3 linked regions of the Drosophila melanogaster genome follow. The protein of the gene in region 1 interacts with the protein of each later gene in a pairwise test. Each region holds a gene or a part of one and is shown on either strand. Other genes may lie near its edges. The genes, in order: Vps4, CG1894 and CG15602.

Region 1 (7,504 bases):
AAAGAAATAGTTGCAGTATATTCCTTAATTGTTTTTAGCCCTTTCCATTTGTTTTCGATATAATTTGAGTTGAAACTTTGTTGCAACTGCAACTGTATCAACTGCCTGCAAGATCAATGTGATAAAAGCCACTTAGCTAAATTTGCATAATAAAACATCAGTTAGTGAAGCAAAATGGCATATGATTAAAATCGAAACTACCCCTTTATGTGCACAATTTTCTTGCGGTGCAATGTGCCACTGACTTGACCAAATACAAATTTGTAAGCCAAATTAATATAATTCATTGCTGTTGGCCAGCAGTGGCATTGATGGAATTTTATGCACTTTAATTTTGGAGCGCGCACCACAGATCTTAGTCATAAATTTTAAGTTGGCAGTTTTGCTTGGAACTCAACTTTAAATTGTATGATTTGACTTTTGTTTGTTGGCTCTTGGAGTTTTTTTTTTCAGTTGTTGCTGGCGGCGACAATTCGTGTCAATGTCAGCATGATTTAAAGTTTTTTTCTGATCCACAAGGGGCTGGGGGCGGGGGGAGGTCAGGTGTTGATGTCAGTGCGTCTGCAAACAAGTTTAATCGAATAATGCATAATATGCACCTGGTGGCCAAAAGAAAAACCAAACAAACTGGATGCAAGCAGTGCAGTGCGAGAAGTGCAAGCAGTGGAACACTGGAAGAAAACTGCTAGTGGCCACAATGATGATGAAAGGCTCTTCGTGCGCATAACTCAGTCAGTTGGACACACACATTTGAGCCGCAAGAAATATGCATTTCTGAAATAGTTTCGCAAAACGGCGACTGACACAAAAAACAGTAGCCGAAAACACAAAGTGAAGCACGCAAAAAAAAAAAAAAAACCAAGAAACAAATGGTTAAAACAATGCGAATGTGGGGGAAAAAACAGAGTCACATCGGCAACAACAGCATCAACCTTACCAATAATAACAACACCGAAAACAACAACAAATCATGAGAGTTCGGCTGCTGTGCGGCTTTAACTCGACTTCTTCTTCATTTCGCTCATTTGAGACCCGGCTCACGGTTTTCACCTGAAGCGCGTGAAAGTTGCGCTTCGTCGGGGCAGCAGCAGCAGCAGCAGCCCATGTGCACTGCGAGAAACGCCTGCCCACTTTGGTTGACCCTTCCAACAGCGCTCCTTTAAATCCACTAAATGCTACTAGCATCAGCATCTACGCTACTTGCAGTATCTCAAATTTATGTAAATATATTAATACTAATTAAATATTAAAATATTACTGATTTAGAAGCTTAAAGCAACATACAACACAGAAGATAGGAATGCTACATTTTAGTAACACTTTATTTAATGAAAACCATGCTGCAAAACGATTTACGATACAAAATCCACAAAGTTATAAGCCAACGTAAAAATTAATTCTTATTAAAAAAAAAACATTTAAAAAATGCTGATACTTATTGAATAAGCAGGACATTATTTTATATCGTGATAAATAATGAATATTTTCCTTTGTGCACCACAGACCGCACTTTAAAAAAAAGAGCTAAAATAAGGTGTGTAAGGTAAGGGCCAGGCCCCTGAGCCAGGTAATTAATGCACCTTGGAAAAACAAATGTCACTTGCACGCCAAACGCAAACAAAAACAAATCACAACAAATACGCACTTTTTTTTCGTATCTGGGCTCTATCACGCTTTTCACAAAGTTGCGCAAAACCAACCGAGAAACGTTGTCGCCGTGTATCTGTATCTTTTCGGCTTGTATCTTTGGCCTCATGCAGCGCAGACGACGGCGCTGCACTCACGTAACGGAACTGCCGATGTGCGGGCGAAATATAGCGAAAAACCTATAGCGGACCGATCCCACAATATTCAAACCTCTAGCCTTTGCGGCCGAAGATCAACTGAAACTCTGGCTCAAAGCACGGCTCAAAACTCACGAACCGAACGCGAAAACCCAGCGATCCGAAGGCGAAGTCGAAGAGCCGAAGAGCACAATCACTGCTCGGCAGCATTCGGCAGCGCACAGTGGAGCTGATGGGCAAAAAGCTTACAATAGGAAATAACATAATAATTCATACTAAAAAACTACATTCAAAATGTCTCAAATATTACAAATCAATCTACTTAAAGCAACGCTATAAAATAAAGATATTTTCATTTTTATAGCATTTATTTTCGATGGACTTAAATGCTTAAAACTAGGGAAAAGGGAAAAATATTTAAAAAAAAATATATATATATAAAGAACCAATGCAAAGGAAGAGCAGCAACAGAGAAATGCAATTTTTGTGTTATAAAAATATTTCAACTATGGCATCAGTAGGTTTCTTTTAGTTTGCTCCATACAAATAGGTCATTGCCCACTGTGCGCAGCTCGCAGTATGCTCGATATCTGGTCGATCGGCCAGGAACAAGCGCACATATGCTGGTGAGCTGGAAAGATCTTATCGCACTTGGCATGTGGGCCAGACGGCTGAGACTCTCGCATTCTGCCGCTGATACTCTCGGCGCTCAGTTTCTCCATTCCGTCCACCGGCCACCCACCCACCTGGTGGCTCACTTTGAAATGGGGTCACTTGCGGCGGCGGGGAATCCCCGCGACGATTCCACTGGCAATTGGCATTCCCGCTACGTCGTCATACATGGTATACAATTTTCGTTTTTATTTCTGGTACGTTACAAGTTAAATAGGTTTGCTCGACTGCGCTTAAACTCCGCAAACTGCTCCTGCTTCTGCTCCTTCTTCTCCTTCTGCTTCTACAGCTCTAGCTCCAGCTCCTCCGCTGATTGGTGCTGCTCTGATCTGAGGTGTCCGTGGCAAGTCCGAGTGGCAAATATTGCGCAAGCGCGGCGGACACTCATATTACATTAGGTTTCAAACTTCAGGCTGGATATCGGGTTTCTTCCGTCGCTTAACATTAAGAGTACAAAAATACATTGACTTTGTGATTACAACAATCCACAGATCCACCCGCTTCACGCTCACTGCATGTCCTTCATCTCCGGTTGCAATCGAACGACAAATTTGAATTAAATTTTAACCATATATCGTATGTATACATTATATATATATATAAAATAAAAAAAATGTTTAAGGAGAGCCAGAAGTAAAACGTGTTTGAATTTATGCAATAGGCAACAATTAGAATTAGCTGGTGGTGCTGACGATATCTGGCGGGGTTCGTGTCTAGCCCTCCTGCCCAAAGTCCTCTGTGAATTTGCGCAGCTTCTTCAGATCGTCTTCGTTGACGGTCGGTTTCGTGCGGGACAAGGACTTCAGCATGTCGCGCTGGATGTAGAAGTTCAAGAAAGATTATTGGCACTGCGAAAAAAGGTTGATAGCTAAGGATGCCGTACCATGGTCACGGGCGGTTCGAAGAGCTTGTCGCTGGGCACATCCATCCAGTTCATCTCGACGGCGCCCTGGTCGCCAGGTGAGCACGGAACCAGCAAATCGTTGACAATCTCCTCGTGGTTGGTGGGACTCGGACCGGATACCCGCTTGAAATGCGTGGCGGTCTGCACTTTCCTCACGGGTTCCATCAGCGCATCGCGCACAACGATTGATATATCCGCGCCAGAGTAGCTGCAAAACGGAAAATCATTCACTTAGTTAAATATGCTTACATATAAACATTATAAACAATGGATCAATTTTGTGTGATAGTGAAGCAAATAGTTTATAAAGTGCATTTACCCCTCGGTTTTGCCGGCCAACTCCTTGAGATCCTGCTCGGTGAGCACGTGCGTGGTGTTGCCCAGATGGATCTTGAACATGACGAGGCGGGCATGCGCCTCCGGCAGCGGAATGTAGATGCGCTTCTCGAATCGACGGCGAATGGCCGAGTCGAGGACCCACGGTATGTTTGTGGCGCCGAGAACGAGAATGCCATCGGTGTCATTGCCCACGCCCTGCATCTGCACCAGAAACTCGGTCTTGATGCGTCGCACGCTGTCGTTCTCGTTGTCCGATCTCGCCGAGCACATCGAATCGATCTCGTCAATGAAGATAATGGAGGGCTTGTGCTGGCGGGCCAGTTCGAAGAGATTCTTGACCAGCTTCTCGGACTCGCCCAGCCACTTGGACATCAGATCCGAACTGGACACCGAGAAGAATGTGGAGCGATTGGCCTCGGTGGCGACGGCCTTGGCCAGATAGGATTTACCGGTACCGGGCGGGCCGAACAGCAGGATGCCCTTCCACGGAATCCGCTTGCCAGTGAAGAGCTGCGGGAATTTAATCGGCAGGATAACGGCCTCCTTCAGCGCCTCCTTGGCGGCATCCAGGCCAGCGACATCGGACCACTGAACCTTTGGCTTCTCTATGACAATGGCGTCCTCCAGCTTGCTCTGCAGCTTCTTCTTCTCGGGATCGTCGCCGTCCTCGTCATCGCTGTCGCTCTTTTTGTCCTTGTCGTCCTTGGCGCTGGACTCACCACCCTCCTTGATCGGTTTCTTTTTGCCCTTCTTCAGGTACTCCTTTAGCTTCTCGGCCCGGTCCAAATACTGCAGGCACTTGGCCCGTATCGAGTCCTTGGCCTTCTCGCCCTGTGCCTCATCTGCTCGTTAGATAGTAATTTGATAGTTAGTAGTCAGCTTGCTTCTATTCAGTGAGTATAAGTGCATTTTAGATGCACTAATGGGACTGCTTACATTTGATGGTGTGCAGGAAGTACTCCACCCCGTGCTCATACAGACGCAGTGCCTCCGCGTAGTTCTTATTTCGATCCTCCTCGGTGGCCTTGGTCACCAGATCGATGGCCTTCTGTAGTGTGGTACCGGCTGCCATGGTGCTGGAAGTTACAAACGTTCACACATCATTATTTCAACTGGCATTTTGATGGGAGGAACTATCCACCAAGGCTTAACGTGGACTACTTATGGATTTTATCATCTTAATTTCCGCTTTCTAATCATTTCTGCTCAGCTTAGAGTTAAGTTGTCATATTTTAAAGCCTACAACTTTACTACACAGAGAACTAAAGATGCCACAAATATGTGGGCAAATCGATTTGTGCAATATGGAGCATAATGTATAGAATAAAGTTCAAAATAAAGTTATTAAACAGGTTCTAAAAATATAGTTACAATATCGATTTATGCAAAATCAACTGGATCTGATCCCAGCTTTGTTTATATCCTTTGATTGCTTTACACTCACTATCCAAAACGATTCTATAACTCATATTGTAATGCCAAACTTCCCGAGCATAATGATTCCATAGAATTTTGATATATTTCGGGCTGTAATAGCCCCCCTCCCCTTGGGAATCTATCATCTCGGCGTGAGTTTCGCTGGCCAGGCCGATGACGATGGTTACCCAATTGATCCTTGGCGGAGTAGTAACTCCCATCTTGCTACTCAGTGTCCTTCGGTGACGCAGTTCGCGAGCAAAATCGAATTTCTGGGCATGACTAATGCCCGAATACAGCGGCATTGACAAAAACACAAGTAGCCAACTTTTTGCGGGGCGGCTGCGGAGGGGATGGCGGGTCAGTTCCGACCATTACTCACATTTATGCTGGCTGACTTGCTCCTGGAATTCCGGCAAGCGTCACTGACTAACTCGCTGGCTAACTCGACAGGTGTTAAACAAAAGGAAAACTTAACTATTTTGTTGGAATTCCAACGCGAATGACGACGTCTTGTTTTTTTTTATTTGTCAGTGTGACCACAGCGCGGGCTGGGCCTTAGATTGCGGTGCAGCTGCAATGGTCACACATGGAAAGGTGAAATTACTTGGCGCGGTTTTTGAAAGTGTAGCCAAAAATCCAGCTCTAATAAATTCACATATGTGACAATATGACAATTTGTTCACATTACTTTATTTAACTTAAAAGAGTTCGGAACTCATATGTTATATGATTAAGTGTATAGCAAGCGATATTAAATGGACTTAGCTCATTAAAAAACGAATACAATATAAAAACTAATATATGATATTTCATAATTGCTATAAATTCCTATAAATTTTAATCGCCATAAATAGCTGATTTTAGCGTTTTTTCCACTAGCTCTGACAATCGATAACAATAATACATTATCGATACGCGCAATTAAAATATTTATATAAACAGTTTGTTTTTAAGTCTCCAATTTATAGGCAGTTAGGCGCTTTAATTATTTTATTTAAAGCGATATTTTAAGCGATTTCAATGAATTTTTAGGAAACTCAGTTGCCAGCTGATTTTGCGTCAGTTGGAGAAGATCAGATCATCTTGTCATATTACCCAATTACTCGAAAATCAAAATAGCATTAGAACTTCTGCCATTCCAAAAATAAAAAATAAAAATAAAAAAAATAGACAATGTCGGAGGACAAACAGTTCATCCGCCGGGATAAGGGCACCAAGAAAACTTCCACGTCTTTGAAGGAGGTGGACATCTACCGGGACACCTTCATTCGCTATATGGGTGAGTGTTCCTCCCAAGCAGAATCTGCCCAGATCCATCGAAATATATGAGTTTAATTGTTACGGCTTTGCAGGCTACAGCAACGAGATTGGCGAGTCCTTCCGCCCGCTGGTGCCCAAGTCTCTGGTGGCCGCATCCTACGGCATGGCCATCGGATACGTCTGCACGGACACTTTTGACAAGGCACTGCGCCTCCAAATGGAGGGCGCTTCCTCCAGAGAAGTGGCCGTCAAGGGCGGCGACGTCTTCTGCTGGCAGATGCTGGCCTCCGTCGCCATTCCCGGCCTGGTCATCAATCGGTGCGTTCAACCCTTGCCAGAAAATTGCCCAAAAACGTAGACTTAATGGTTGTATTTACATAGTTGGAAGTAGGGAATGAGGCGTCTTAAAGATTCCCTTTTTCCATTAGTTGCATAATACTTATCTTATATAAGCATAGTAAAAATTATACTATAGAGTGCATATACGTAGTAGAATGGCATGTGCAATGTTGCAAAAACAGGTTTATTGTATATTTGTAGATACACGATGAAGTCATCGTTCTCTCCAAGATCATACCCATTTTTATGAGTTTATGTTCACATAATAAGCAATGCTCATTTATATCGTTTTAGGATCACCTGGGCCACCAAAACACTGCTGAGCAAAGCGCCTATGCCCGTGCTAAAGACGGTGCCCACCCTGGTGGGTCTGGCCAGCATACCGCTTATCATCCATCCCATTGACAGCATGGTTGACCGCCTGATGGACGCCACCTACCGCAAGACGGTGCGGTAGTGAACGCTAGCTGGGATGTGCACAGCATTGGCCCAACTCCAAGTCTACTCCCATTCTACTCCACGGTGATAGTTCTTAGATACTAAGAGTTTACATGAACTGTAGCAAAGCTTTAGCCCCAAATCCAGTTTGCATATTGACCAGAATTTCTAGTTTAACATTTTATTTATTGACATTGGGACGGGGAAAAAATAGTGCAAAAAATTTACAATACGCTTTACAAAAATAATCATTTATACAAGACTGAGGCAACAGGTGGAATGCCGGCGTTCGAAGCCTTTATCTCGTTAAAGGATCCTACTTCTGCTCATCCTCGTCATCGCTATCGAT
Region 2 (5,746 bases), on another chromosome or scaffold:
GTGACAATTTCCCCGAGCACTTGGCACAAGGCGTCCTTGCGAGAACGAGAGGCGCCAAATGAAAACACGTGACGCCCGAGCAATTGGTGGGCAACAAAGCTCAAGCTTTGAGTTATGGCCAAACGCAATGGTGCACACAAACAATGGAGGCAGGAGGAGGAGCTTGGGATCCACTTCCGAACACCCGGACACCCAGCAACGCGGACACCGGAAGGCAACCACTGGCCACGTTTGCATTTCAATTGACTTTCCGTGAGCTTCGCTCTCCACCACATCCACGTCCACGTCCTTGTCGTCTTCGTAGTCCTTCGTCCGCCGCAGCTCTGCATTTTTCACGATAAAATCATAAATCAGCGCTGAATCAGGTAAATAAAAATAATGCTCGAACTCTGTATGCAAATTGAACCGAGAGTCGGAGCAACGGAGACTTATTCGCTGAGATTTGCCTGTGCAAAAATATGATAAAACTTGAGCCAGTCAAAAAACTTTGCAACTCTGGCCAAAAACTTGACTTTGCTTATGCGAATGAGGTGGCTGGGTGGTGGCTAAAATGTTGAATAATATTGTTGAAGACAACGCTACATTTTTTCTCAAAACTTTTCCATTTTCAGAAGGATTTTAACAGACGTAAATGGAACTGACTCAGCAATCAGACTATGTTAATTAGCCTGCGCACTAAAGGGCATTCCAAATGATTCAGAACGAGGGTAACCAAGCCAAATGGTCACACAAGTCGTTGCAAAACTTGGGTTCAATGAATTCGCGGGAAAGAAAAGCAACAAACGAATCAAAATCTAATTAACAAACCTTTATCAACTAAAGGCATCCCTAGTATATGAAGGTGCAGTTAAAGTTGATTAACTCAGCTGGAATTGGCTAACGAAGAGCCTGTTTTGAGCATCACTTGTGTGTTATATTAACATACTGCTAGTGGCACAAATAGCTTCCAAATTCCTGTGGACTCGTGCGATTTGATATGGCTGCAACCACAACTGAGATTGACCTGTGCTTTATTACTTCAAAAATGCGGCATTTGGCTAATGCTCAAAGGAATCGATCGAGTCCATGCCGGCGATGATGGCGCATCGCTGGCCAATTATACGGCTTTGAGGGCATCAGTTTGGGATTGGACCGTTCCTCAGGCGTCGACTCGTTAAGTATCCGCAAAGGATGCAATCTCTGCCAGTTACTGAAATTCGGCTTTGTGGCAGACAAAACTGCATTGAAGTTGTTGCGGTTACGGCTCGACTGCCTAGTTGCCTAGTTGCCCGACTGCATGGATGCCATGGCAATTGGCCAACGCAGGCGTCGTCTTAAAGTAGGCCCAGTTTATTAATTAACGCAACCCGACCGACCACTATTCCGGCTTTGCATCCGGCAGCCCAGCAGAGACGCCTGACCACACTTGGTTTGATTCCAACCGGATGGTAACTTGGAACTGGGTATTCAGTGCACACTGGCATGCATATTGAAGTGCGATTGCCGGGCTCTGGGCATGCTCCTCCTGCATCAATTATGGGCATTCAAAACTGTTTGTAACCATTTTCCAAATGTTCAGCTGGCTAAACAAAAGCCCGTCCAAACCCACCCAACACTACGTGGCCCCATGGAAACCGTTTCGCAAAGCCCATTGGGAGCCCAGCGCTTATCTTCACCGTACAGGTCAAGGGCTAATAGGTATCGATCCAGAGCTACCAGCCCAAACATTGGCCTTAATATTTTTATAAGACTGATGGTATCGAGTAATAACAAGGAACCAAAAAGCTTGGAGGCGTGAAATTAAGCTGGGATTAGAATATTGTATATGTATATATACATTAACAAGAAGCTGTGCTGTGCTTTAAACATATCGAAATAACAAAAGAATTTTTATTAAAAATATTTAAGCTTCAAGTTAGCTCGACTTCTTTGGCCTGTTTGAATAGTTCTGCACACACCTACGACTCTACGGCTCTAATTAGGGAGTATGACTCCGGGGCCCAGGAACCTCCTTTCAGTTGACTTCGTTTTCAAAGGCATTCCCCGCATCATTTAAAAGTTATTAAGCACAAATGCAAACAGACGTTCGAGTTGTCTCGAAGCCATGGTTGTGTTTATCAAACTTGTGTGACGTAGATAAATATGCAGTGGGGGCACGTTTCAAGCGGAAACGAAGCAGCACAGCAATAAAAAGTGTTTGATTTTAATGAGATTCGAAGTATGTATATAATTTTAATCATTTTTGTGTAATATTCTCTAGTAGAGACATGACATTTTTATATTTCTGCAGCGCATAGATATTTTGCAGCACAAAGCTATATATCAAATCGCTATAATATTTTTACGTGTACGCAAACAGAGACTCTTATAGAAAAGGCACACACACACAGACACACGCACATATGCAGAGTGAAGTCAATAAATTCTCATTTCGCTGGATGCGTGGAATATTTCACCTGCAAACAAAGTGTGCTCTTCGCTACTCTGCTCTCCGCAAACGCAATAATAAATACAAATAAAAACATGGCGCATAAAGATTACAGCCACCGCAAGCGAATGCTGTAGCAAAAGGAGCCAACTCATCCAGGAGCTTTCCATCCTGCTAGAACCCCCCCCCCCCCCCCATCCCGCCATCCACACACTCTCAATCCAATCTATATTAAGTATACGCACCGTTTGAACCATGCATTTTAATGATGTCTCCCGTTGGCCCGGGCTCGTCACCTAATCTTTCGCCCGGTCTCCTGGCCTCTCGCCCTCACATCCACCTGCTGTGACGACGTAAATGTTCATTTATTTTAATTAGTATTGAGCCGGGTTGTCCCTGCACTGGCGTCTTCGATAGATCAAGGTAGCAGGGTGTGGCGTAGGACTGAGATTATATCCCGAAATGTTTTCTCACTGAAAAAAATGTATACAACTTATTGTATAATATATATTTTTGCTCAATATATGTTCAGAAAGTTAAATTGGAATTAAAATTTAAAAATAACTTTAATGCTTTGATATTGGTGCTTCCTTAGATGATTCGATTTTTTGACAACAAACTTTATCGTTTCATTATTGATATCACTAATCGATATCAAGCTAAATGTGTCATCACTAGTGAAAAACCACGCTTTCTAAAAAGGGTGAAATTCGCAATAGGAATTGACAAATGGACAAGGAAAACAGATCAGGTGACCATTTAAAGTATCAGCCGTTGGGCGATCAGGACGGGATAAGTTCGAAATTGCCGGACATTCCGAGAGCCCTGCAATTGGTAAGAACAATACTGGTCAAAGAATATCATATGAGGAATGAAAAACTGCTGATAATTTATTTTTTTTTTGCCACTCTTCAGACTAATGCCAAGGAATCCTCCGCGACTCGCGGTTTAGGCCAAAGTGCTTCTAAGTCCGAAATGGGGAAATCCCAGCTTCAGAACGATTCATCTCTTCAAAAAAACATTCAGGAAACTAAAACCATTACTGGATCGTGCATCGAAGCTCAAAGAATAGGGGCTACACCGAAGAAGCAATTGGAAGGCGTCAAGGAACCTAATATGATTTCTTTATTACACACTAATGCCAGTAGCAATGTGGATGATCGCCAGCGCCAGGAGACAATAGATAATGAAAAAAGTGATGTCCAGAAAGAGAAAGAGGACGCGAAAGTGAAAGTCATAAGAAACATCGAAAAGGTGCAATTTGGGCGTTACGAGATCGAGACCACGTCTTCCAGTCCCTATCCTGTAATAAACGACAAGGCGACCACCATTTACGTTTGTGAATTCTGCCTAAAATACATGTGCTTGCGGAAAAGTTACTCCTACCACCTATACGATTGCAAGAAGAGGTGTCCGCCGGGCAGCTTGTTATACCGAAAAGACAATATTTATATCTACGAGGTCGATGGCCATAAGGAGCAGCTGTATTGCCAGTGCCTCTGCCTAATGTCAAAGCTCTTTCTGGAAAACAAGAAAATTCTTTACAGCTCGAGTTCGTTCTTGTTTTATATCCTGTGTTTGAAGGACAAGGATGGCGAGCACTTTGCAGGTTACTTCGCCAGGGAGAAGACTATGCTGAATATCAACCTGAATTGCATCCTTGTTTTACCGCCCTATATGCGCAAGGGATACGGAAAGTTGTTGATTGATCTGAGCTACGAGATCTCTCGCAGGGAGGCATGCATCGGAGGTCCCAAGAAGCCGCTGTCGAAAGTTGCCAGACTTTGTTACCTCAGCTATTGGGGCCACATCCTCCTCAATCTGCTGAGGCACCACTCATCACCGGACCTGGTGACCATCGAAGAGCTGAGCAAAGCGACTGGCTTCCGCGAGGAGGACATAATAAGCACTTTAGAATTTATGGGGATGACGAAGTACTACAAGGTTGACCACATCATGTTCTACACTACTTCATCGATAATTGAAGATCGCCGTGGGCTCGCACAGTTTAAAAAGCCGAGGTTGACCATTCACAGGAATCGCCTCTCCTGGAAGACACCCACAGGACGAAAGTAGAACATTTTCATGATATATGTATGCCACTTTGTATGCCAACAATTTACACTAGTAAACTGATTGCACTCATCTACAAGAATGTCCTTATCTTATTTTATTTTTTGCGGTGTACCTTAGACAGTCTAAAATAAAAATCACATTAGCGAGATAATCAAAATTCAAGGCCTGCGGAAATTAGGTAAAATCCAGGTATTAATGAAAAATCGATGACATCCCATGGAACTGATTCCTCAAGCCCATTGAAGTGGCTGCGAAGTTTGATTGCGCAACTTTTATGGTAGCAACGGCACATGCACTTTAAGTGAAGTCGTCAAAGAGCCTGGCAGTCGGTTGTTAGGCAATTTGAGATCCGGGCAAAGTTGACTTTTGCACTTGCACTTACTTAACCCACAGCCTCACTCAACTCACTTTGCCGTGTTGACGGTGCCGAGTAAATATTTCCATTTATGGTCCCATACACTTATTGAGCGTGGCCATCGTTCCACGTCCGCCGCTTCCCAGGAGCCAAGGGGGCTACGGGGCTACTTGACCTGGACCCGGAGACCTGGCAACTGGGAAAGTCCCTGGCACGTTGCTAATGTGCATAGCCATTAAGTCAGGGCTGCGTGTTTTGTTTACGCAACGGCGTGAGCTCTATAACTTGGCAGGGGATTGGTTGGGATGTGTTGTGTTGCGTTGGTGCATTCAAAGGGCCCACAATGCTCTGGCATTGCTATTCGACTGTTGCATGTTGCAAGTGCGGCTGACAGGTAACCGGAAGGGGGGTACCAGAAATTACATTAAATCGGATGGGTTGGGGATAGTTGGACTGGGCTGAGTTGGGTAGGATTGGGTTGCCCTAACAACAGCTAGTCAAGGCAACCAGCAACATAGCCGGGAAATGGAATCAAAACAAGCAGCATAAACAATTTAAGCAACGTCGTTATTATTATTCGACAGCTTTAATCAAAGCAGCCCTGCTATATTTTCGTCAGGGAAATGGAAATAACTTTCATCAAACGCCGTTAACAAATTGTGTACCTGTATATCTGAACAGTGTGGCCCAAAGACAACATTTCAAGGCATTCCATATTTGGTTTTTAGACGGCTGGCATTGGCCATTGCCGTAGCTGCAGCCGCAACTGTTGTCCTGGGATACACAAAAGGATTTTCAGACGCCCGGGAGTAAATACACCAGCACTCTGTGGCGGAAGCGAAACCAAACTGCACAGCGAGGCAGCTGAAATTGATTGAAAGAACAACAAAAACGGAAAGGTGGTTGGG
Region 3 (5,530 bases), 2.1 Mb from region 1:
CAGCATCTTCGAAATTCACGTTATCCCTGATCCCTAAAAAGAATGTTGTGCAGTTTAAGTTAAGCAAAAACTTAATGATTTTTTTCACCCATCGATAATAATCTACACGGAAAATAAATTAAAATAAATGTTTTTAATGTTTTATAGAATTTAAAATATAAATTTATACAATTTTTGAAATCTACATTTGAATTAAATCATTACGATCCAATTATTTCGAAATTTCAGTTTTTTATGCTGAAGTCGTAGGGTATTGCAGACTTTTTGAAATAATTTGGGACCCAATCCACTTCTGTTTTGCGAATCCTCAAATTACAATTATAACCGAATGCTAACAATTTATGTTAATTAATCACACCAACGACTATAGCCCAACGAGTTTAACAATATTGTTGATTTAACTGGAGGATACTGCTATTTGATTACTTCGCACGCTTTCCATTGACATTTGAATATAGGTTCTTCTTATCGGGATGATCCGTGCACTATTGGAACGAGCAGCCCATATATCACAAAAACGACAAAATGCCAGAACAGTTTTGACAGGGCCCAGGGTTCATCTTCGTGTAGCCTTCTAATATCAGCTAAATACATGGGCAAATGTTATTTAATGTCAATCTCAGAACTATTGAGATGGCATGTAACCTACCAGGTGGACGTGGTTCGAAAAAGTTGAGCCTAGATGTTATGAACCCGAAAGGAAAAGCTCCAATACCGAAAGACATGTGAAATCCGTCGCCGAATCCGAATCCAGGGAACCCGGGAACAGGATCTGGTTCTGTACGTTGTCCAGCGGGGCGTGGTGGAACTTTGTTACTGCAAAACACATATAAGTTGGGTTATTGAAAAATACTCATGTTGAAAGCGGTTCAAACCTACCGTGGATCTTCCTGGTGTGTACTATTTCTTCCGTACAGCGGTATGACCTTATCCTTATCAACGGCAGCCTTACAAACGGGACAGAGTTTGCGATTGGGACGCGTCAGGAGCCACTGATGCAGGCACGGCCAGCAGAACAGATGGCCGCACATGCTGACCACAGCATCCTTGGCGGTGTCCAGGCATATGTTGCACTCGTAGAGTGAGTCGTCTGCGGTATGTTCCTTCTCCTTGTCCTTTTCGTTGGCTTTTGTGTCCGTATCGGTGCCGCCGAATGGATAGCCACCCTTCAGATCGGCCTTATTGCCACCAGATAGATAGTCTCCAGTAAAGGAATACGAAGTGTTGGACTTCTTCAGTTCCGATGCCGTCGAATTGGTTGGAATCGAGGTACCCAGCGGGCGCAATTGACTTGTAGATGACTCCTCAGCCAAGGGTTCTGTGATATCCCGAGTCCAGGCTATCTTGTCGTAGCTCACGTTGTTGGACAAAGTCGATGAGGACGACGATGCCCCGGTTGATGTGCTGGGAAGCTCCGCTGTGGATACACTTTTCGGTTCCTCCATGGTTTGCCCAAGATGCGGGTAAAGTTTTAGTCGTTCAAGCTGCAACGTAACGTTGGATGATTTAGAAACCCAAATTTGCTAAGTAAGTCTGTGTTCACCCTATTGACAAGTGCCTAGATTGCTTAGATGATTTTCCTAGGCCATTTCTGGTGTACAACTAAGGTCCGCACTTTCTTGAATATGACTTAATTTAATTAAATACTTCAAGCGCAGTTTGAAGGGGGTTTCCCCCGAGTTCCGCAGCATTCAGCATTTGTCCGACCCCATGGGGTGGTGTTTATGGCTACGAAAACCGCCCAAAGGGCGTATTTACCACCAAGTCTTCAAGGATAATGCACCGAACATTCCCATTGGCTGCACCCACATAAATTAAACAAAAAAGTCAAATTTTGTTTGAATTGCGTTGGCAAACAAGACGGTATACCTGCATATGTACCTGGACTTATGTGCGTACTTATGTACACATCTACACACTCAAACACTCGCGTGTATATAGGGCTAGAAGGTTTCCATCTACCTGTTACATATGTACATTGGAACCGATTATATGCTTATTTATACAGTACGTATAGATGTCACATAATGTTTTCATGGAGCACTTCCTATTGGAGTCAAGGGGAATTATATGCTCATATACATCGAGTTCCAGGGATTGCGTTTAAACGCATTATAACTTAATTAAACTATATATAACTTCCTGTGGCACAGCAAATAGTATAACTTCTCAAAATTACTTACATTGTAAGTGTATTGTTTGCAAAACCTGACTTGTTTGCCCTCATTTTATTGTTTGTTTTCGCTCACTGTTTGCTTCTACTTGCCGTGCTAAGTATTGTTAAACCGAATCAGAGAATGTTGCTAAATTGATTGTGTGGACAAGTCAATCAATTGACGTCTTAGCACCTCAAAACAATTGCACTGACGATACCTGACCGAGGCCGATAGACCTTTACCCTATCGGTAAATAGCTGCCTGTATAACAGCCCGTCTCCACCGGACCAAAGTCCACGCTCGCGTTAGATAACTATCGAGTTAGGTGAAAAATCTCGGATCTCAATGAATCATTTGAAAAGTGATCAGTGATCAGTCCTCGATTGATTTGTAAACAAAATAAACTACTAAATACATTTACAAGACTAAATACTATTCATTAACAGCTGTTGTGTGCCATGGACAATCGATACCAGGACTCACTCGACTATCTCTAGTTCCTAACGATCTGGTCACAACAAAGCTCAAGAATTTAATAATATTGATATTAGACTAAACCAAAACAAGGAACAGCTGATTTTTAGAACGCTAATGCGTTTAAGTCGTAATCGATAGCTCACCCACTGTACACTGTACACCATCCCTAATTAGAACTGGCTTCTTTCAAAACAAAGCAAACGAAATTTGAAACTTTTTCAATTTATATGTTCCATTGGTGACTCTGGTTGCAATGAGCTGCTTTGGCTGCGGTCGCAAATATGGCCTATTCTGCAAGGAGGCAAGTGCCATCAAACCAAAGCAAACCAACATATATCACCTACTTACATTGTGTTAAATCCGAAATTTTAGTATGGATGCCCCAACTGCGGCTACTCATTCTGCTCCAAGTGCTTGAAGAGACCAATGCCCGTGCCCCGTCATGCAGGAAAGGTGCACAATGTGTGCCTCATATGCTACGACAAACTATCCAAACTCCAGGCGAGCGCCGATGCCGAGAAAGTTATAGACTGTGATGCTTTGCCGGGGATCTTAGTCACCAAAATGAACCTGGCTCCTCCATCCAAAAGTTCAGATGGCGCCGATGCCCTATTCAAGTAAGTAAAATACCACATTAAAACACCGATTCTGAAACTATAATTCGATTAATTGCAGCGACAGCCTGCCTGTGGAGGAGCTGCCACAGGCATTGGTTCCCAGTTCCAGTTCGTCACCACATTCCAAAGATCACAAGGATCATATTGATGAGAACCTGGACAGTGAGTTGACCAAACGAATGCAGGACTATAAACGAGTTGATGCCACCGATGATGAGATCCGCACCCGTCTGGCCAATCTCACTGGGATGCCGCATACGAAAAGCTACGATAAGAAAGATCTGCTACTGTCCACCGACCAAAGAAACGATCAGGAGAAAATGAGGGACTTGCTCGCACAATTCGTTGACGAAGCCCAACTGGATCAAAATATCAGCAGGCAGAGGGATGACTCAATTTCCGACATTGAGAGACGTCTGCGAGCTCTGCGCGATACACCCGTCGATTCCGATGCATGCCCATCGAGATCCCAGATGGAAAGTATCGCGGACAACGAAGAGGATGACGAGACACTTCTACAGAACATATTGAAAAAGGTTCGCATTTATATAGTAGCATTATTTTTTTTAAGCCAAATCATCACTTTCGTATTCCCATTCAGTATGTAGCAGAATCGCGCTTACCAGAACCTTCCGAGAGTGAAATTAGTCCAATTAACACTGAGTCGCCCGGCAACACCGAAGAATTGCCCTGGTGCAATATTTGTAACGAAGACGCCGACTTCCGATGCCACGGATGTGGTGGGGAACTCTTTTGCACTCTATGCTATAAGGAGTGCCACGATGATGACGAGGAGTACCGTGCTCACGTTAAGGAAAAGTATTCGGCTCCGCCAAAGCTTAAAGAAAATCACTTCTAATTGTTAATTGTTTACTTGACTGTACGCAAATTTTTGTTTAATTATAGATTGTTTTCAGCAAATGCATTACTATTGTCTGTATTTATGTGGTGCTAGCTCGCTCATATTTGTGCAGTATAATTGTTGCTTCTCTTTCAGTTGTGAATTAAAACAGGTAGGCGATGTTGGTTCCGAAACATCTTGTGGTTTTTCCACCTTTCAGCGCTGCAAAAACTATACCAAAATATAAAGTAACTTAACGAAACTGCCAGTAGCTGGAAAATTTATAAACAGGTGATTTAATGTTCAACATTATAAACGTAACTCGGGTGCATTTAAGTCTAAGTATGTGAAATGGTGCTCTTCTTTTGTCCCTCATTGTTCCTCCTCCTCGATATTGTAAAAGTGGGGCCATGTCTGTATCTCCTCGTACAATCGCCGACCAGGACTCTCCGTCGAATTGCACTGGCAGTGACAAATTAATCTATAGTCGGTGGATATGTGACCATCCTCAACGCCGCGGGCCAACAGATTGCGGCACATATTCAAGGCGTCTGCCGTCGGGAGTTCTTTCATGAAGCATCCAATGAAACTGATCCCCAGCGAGATCCTGTTGTAACCCAGAGTGTGGGCGCCCACCGTTTTCCATCCGCGTCCCTCGTAGATGTTGCCATCGCAGCCGACCAGGAAGTTGTACGCAATGTCATTCCATCCCCGCGACTCAATGTGGAAGCACTGAAATATATATACATAATTATTATATAGTTCGGAGCATATATGATTTAATTTCGCTAACGAAATACTTACCTGCATGTCACGGATAAGTCTTACGTTGATCGCCCGCTTTTCTGAACTCTCTGTAGCTGTGTGTACTGCGTGGTAAAACAATATTTGTTAATCAAGGTTTTAAATATATTCGAAAAGAGTTATAATACGATATAATCTTAGGTTAGTGAGTGCTAAGCATGATGGTCAGATCAAATAGTATAAATTGTTTTAATTATTGCGTCATACTTTTACAGACAACTTGATTTATAATCAGTTGGCAAAAAAATGGTTAAAACGTGCAGCAAACTTGAATACTCACAGATAACCACATATTTAACAGGCAGTTGCAAGGGCAGTGGCTCGTCCATGGGCTTCTGTGCTAGCCACGAAGAGCGCGGAATGATGGCGGACAGCTCCTTGGGTATTTTGAATTCTGTAAGTGAAATCGGTATCCTATGGTTAACGTGTATGCATCCCCTGGTGAATGATAGCTTACTCTGGCGCCTGATGAACACATCCGAGCGCACCCTCTCCTCCGACTCGTCCTGATAGTCGTCTTCGAAATGTGTCGGAGTTTTGGGAGCGTTATCTCTCGGTGGTGAAACATGCCGCCGATCTCTTCGGTTTTGAGTAAGGCCATCGGCTATGATTTGTATATTTCCATTAATATTGGT

Evidence for each region.
Region 2: the proteins of Vps4 (region 1) and CG1894 interact in a two-hybrid assay, tested with the Drosophila melanogaster proteins (one large-scale study listed by BioGRID).
Region 3: the proteins of Vps4 (region 1) and CG15602 interact in a two-hybrid assay, tested with the Drosophila melanogaster proteins (one large-scale study listed by BioGRID).

Annotation. Positions count from the first base shown.
Region 1 is NC_004354.4:17,905,845-17,913,348, reverse strand, and holds Vps4 (vacuolar protein sorting 4), read right to left. Parts: upstream 5,658-7,504; 5' UTR 5,498-5,657; intron 4,776-5,497; 5' UTR 4,772-4,775; coding exon 4,636-4,771; intron 4,542-4,635; coding exon 3,680-4,541; intron 3,569-3,679; coding exon 3,340-3,568; intron 3,272-3,339; coding exon 3,170-3,271; 3' UTR 2,252-3,169; downstream 1-2,251. Other genes in the region: CG7772 (uncharacterized protein), read left to right, coding at 6,292-6,397, 6,471-6,696, 7,012-7,174; Gss2 (glutathione synthetase 2), read right to left, coding at 7,472-7,504.
Region 2 is NT_033777.3:28,481,516-28,487,261, forward strand, and holds CG1894 (uncharacterized protein), read left to right. Parts: upstream 1-3,041; 5' UTR 3,042-3,136; coding exon 3,137-3,241; intron 3,242-3,322; coding exon 3,323-4,483; 3' UTR 4,484-4,547; downstream 4,548-5,746.
Region 3 is NC_004354.4:15,796,788-15,802,317, forward strand, and holds CG15602 (uncharacterized protein), read left to right. Parts: upstream 1-2,638; 5' UTR 2,639-2,886; coding exon 2,887-2,934; intron 2,935-3,005; coding exon 3,006-3,250; intron 3,251-3,308; coding exon 3,309-3,786; intron 3,787-3,851; coding exon 3,852-4,109; 3' UTR 4,110-4,174; downstream 4,175-5,530. Other genes in the region: sordd2 (suppression of retinal degeneration disease 1 upon overexpression 2), read right to left, coding at 466-584, 650-816, 880-1,445; PGRP-LE (peptidoglycan recognition protein LE), read right to left, coding at 4,464-4,823, 4,896-4,960, 5,176-5,289, 5,353-5,530.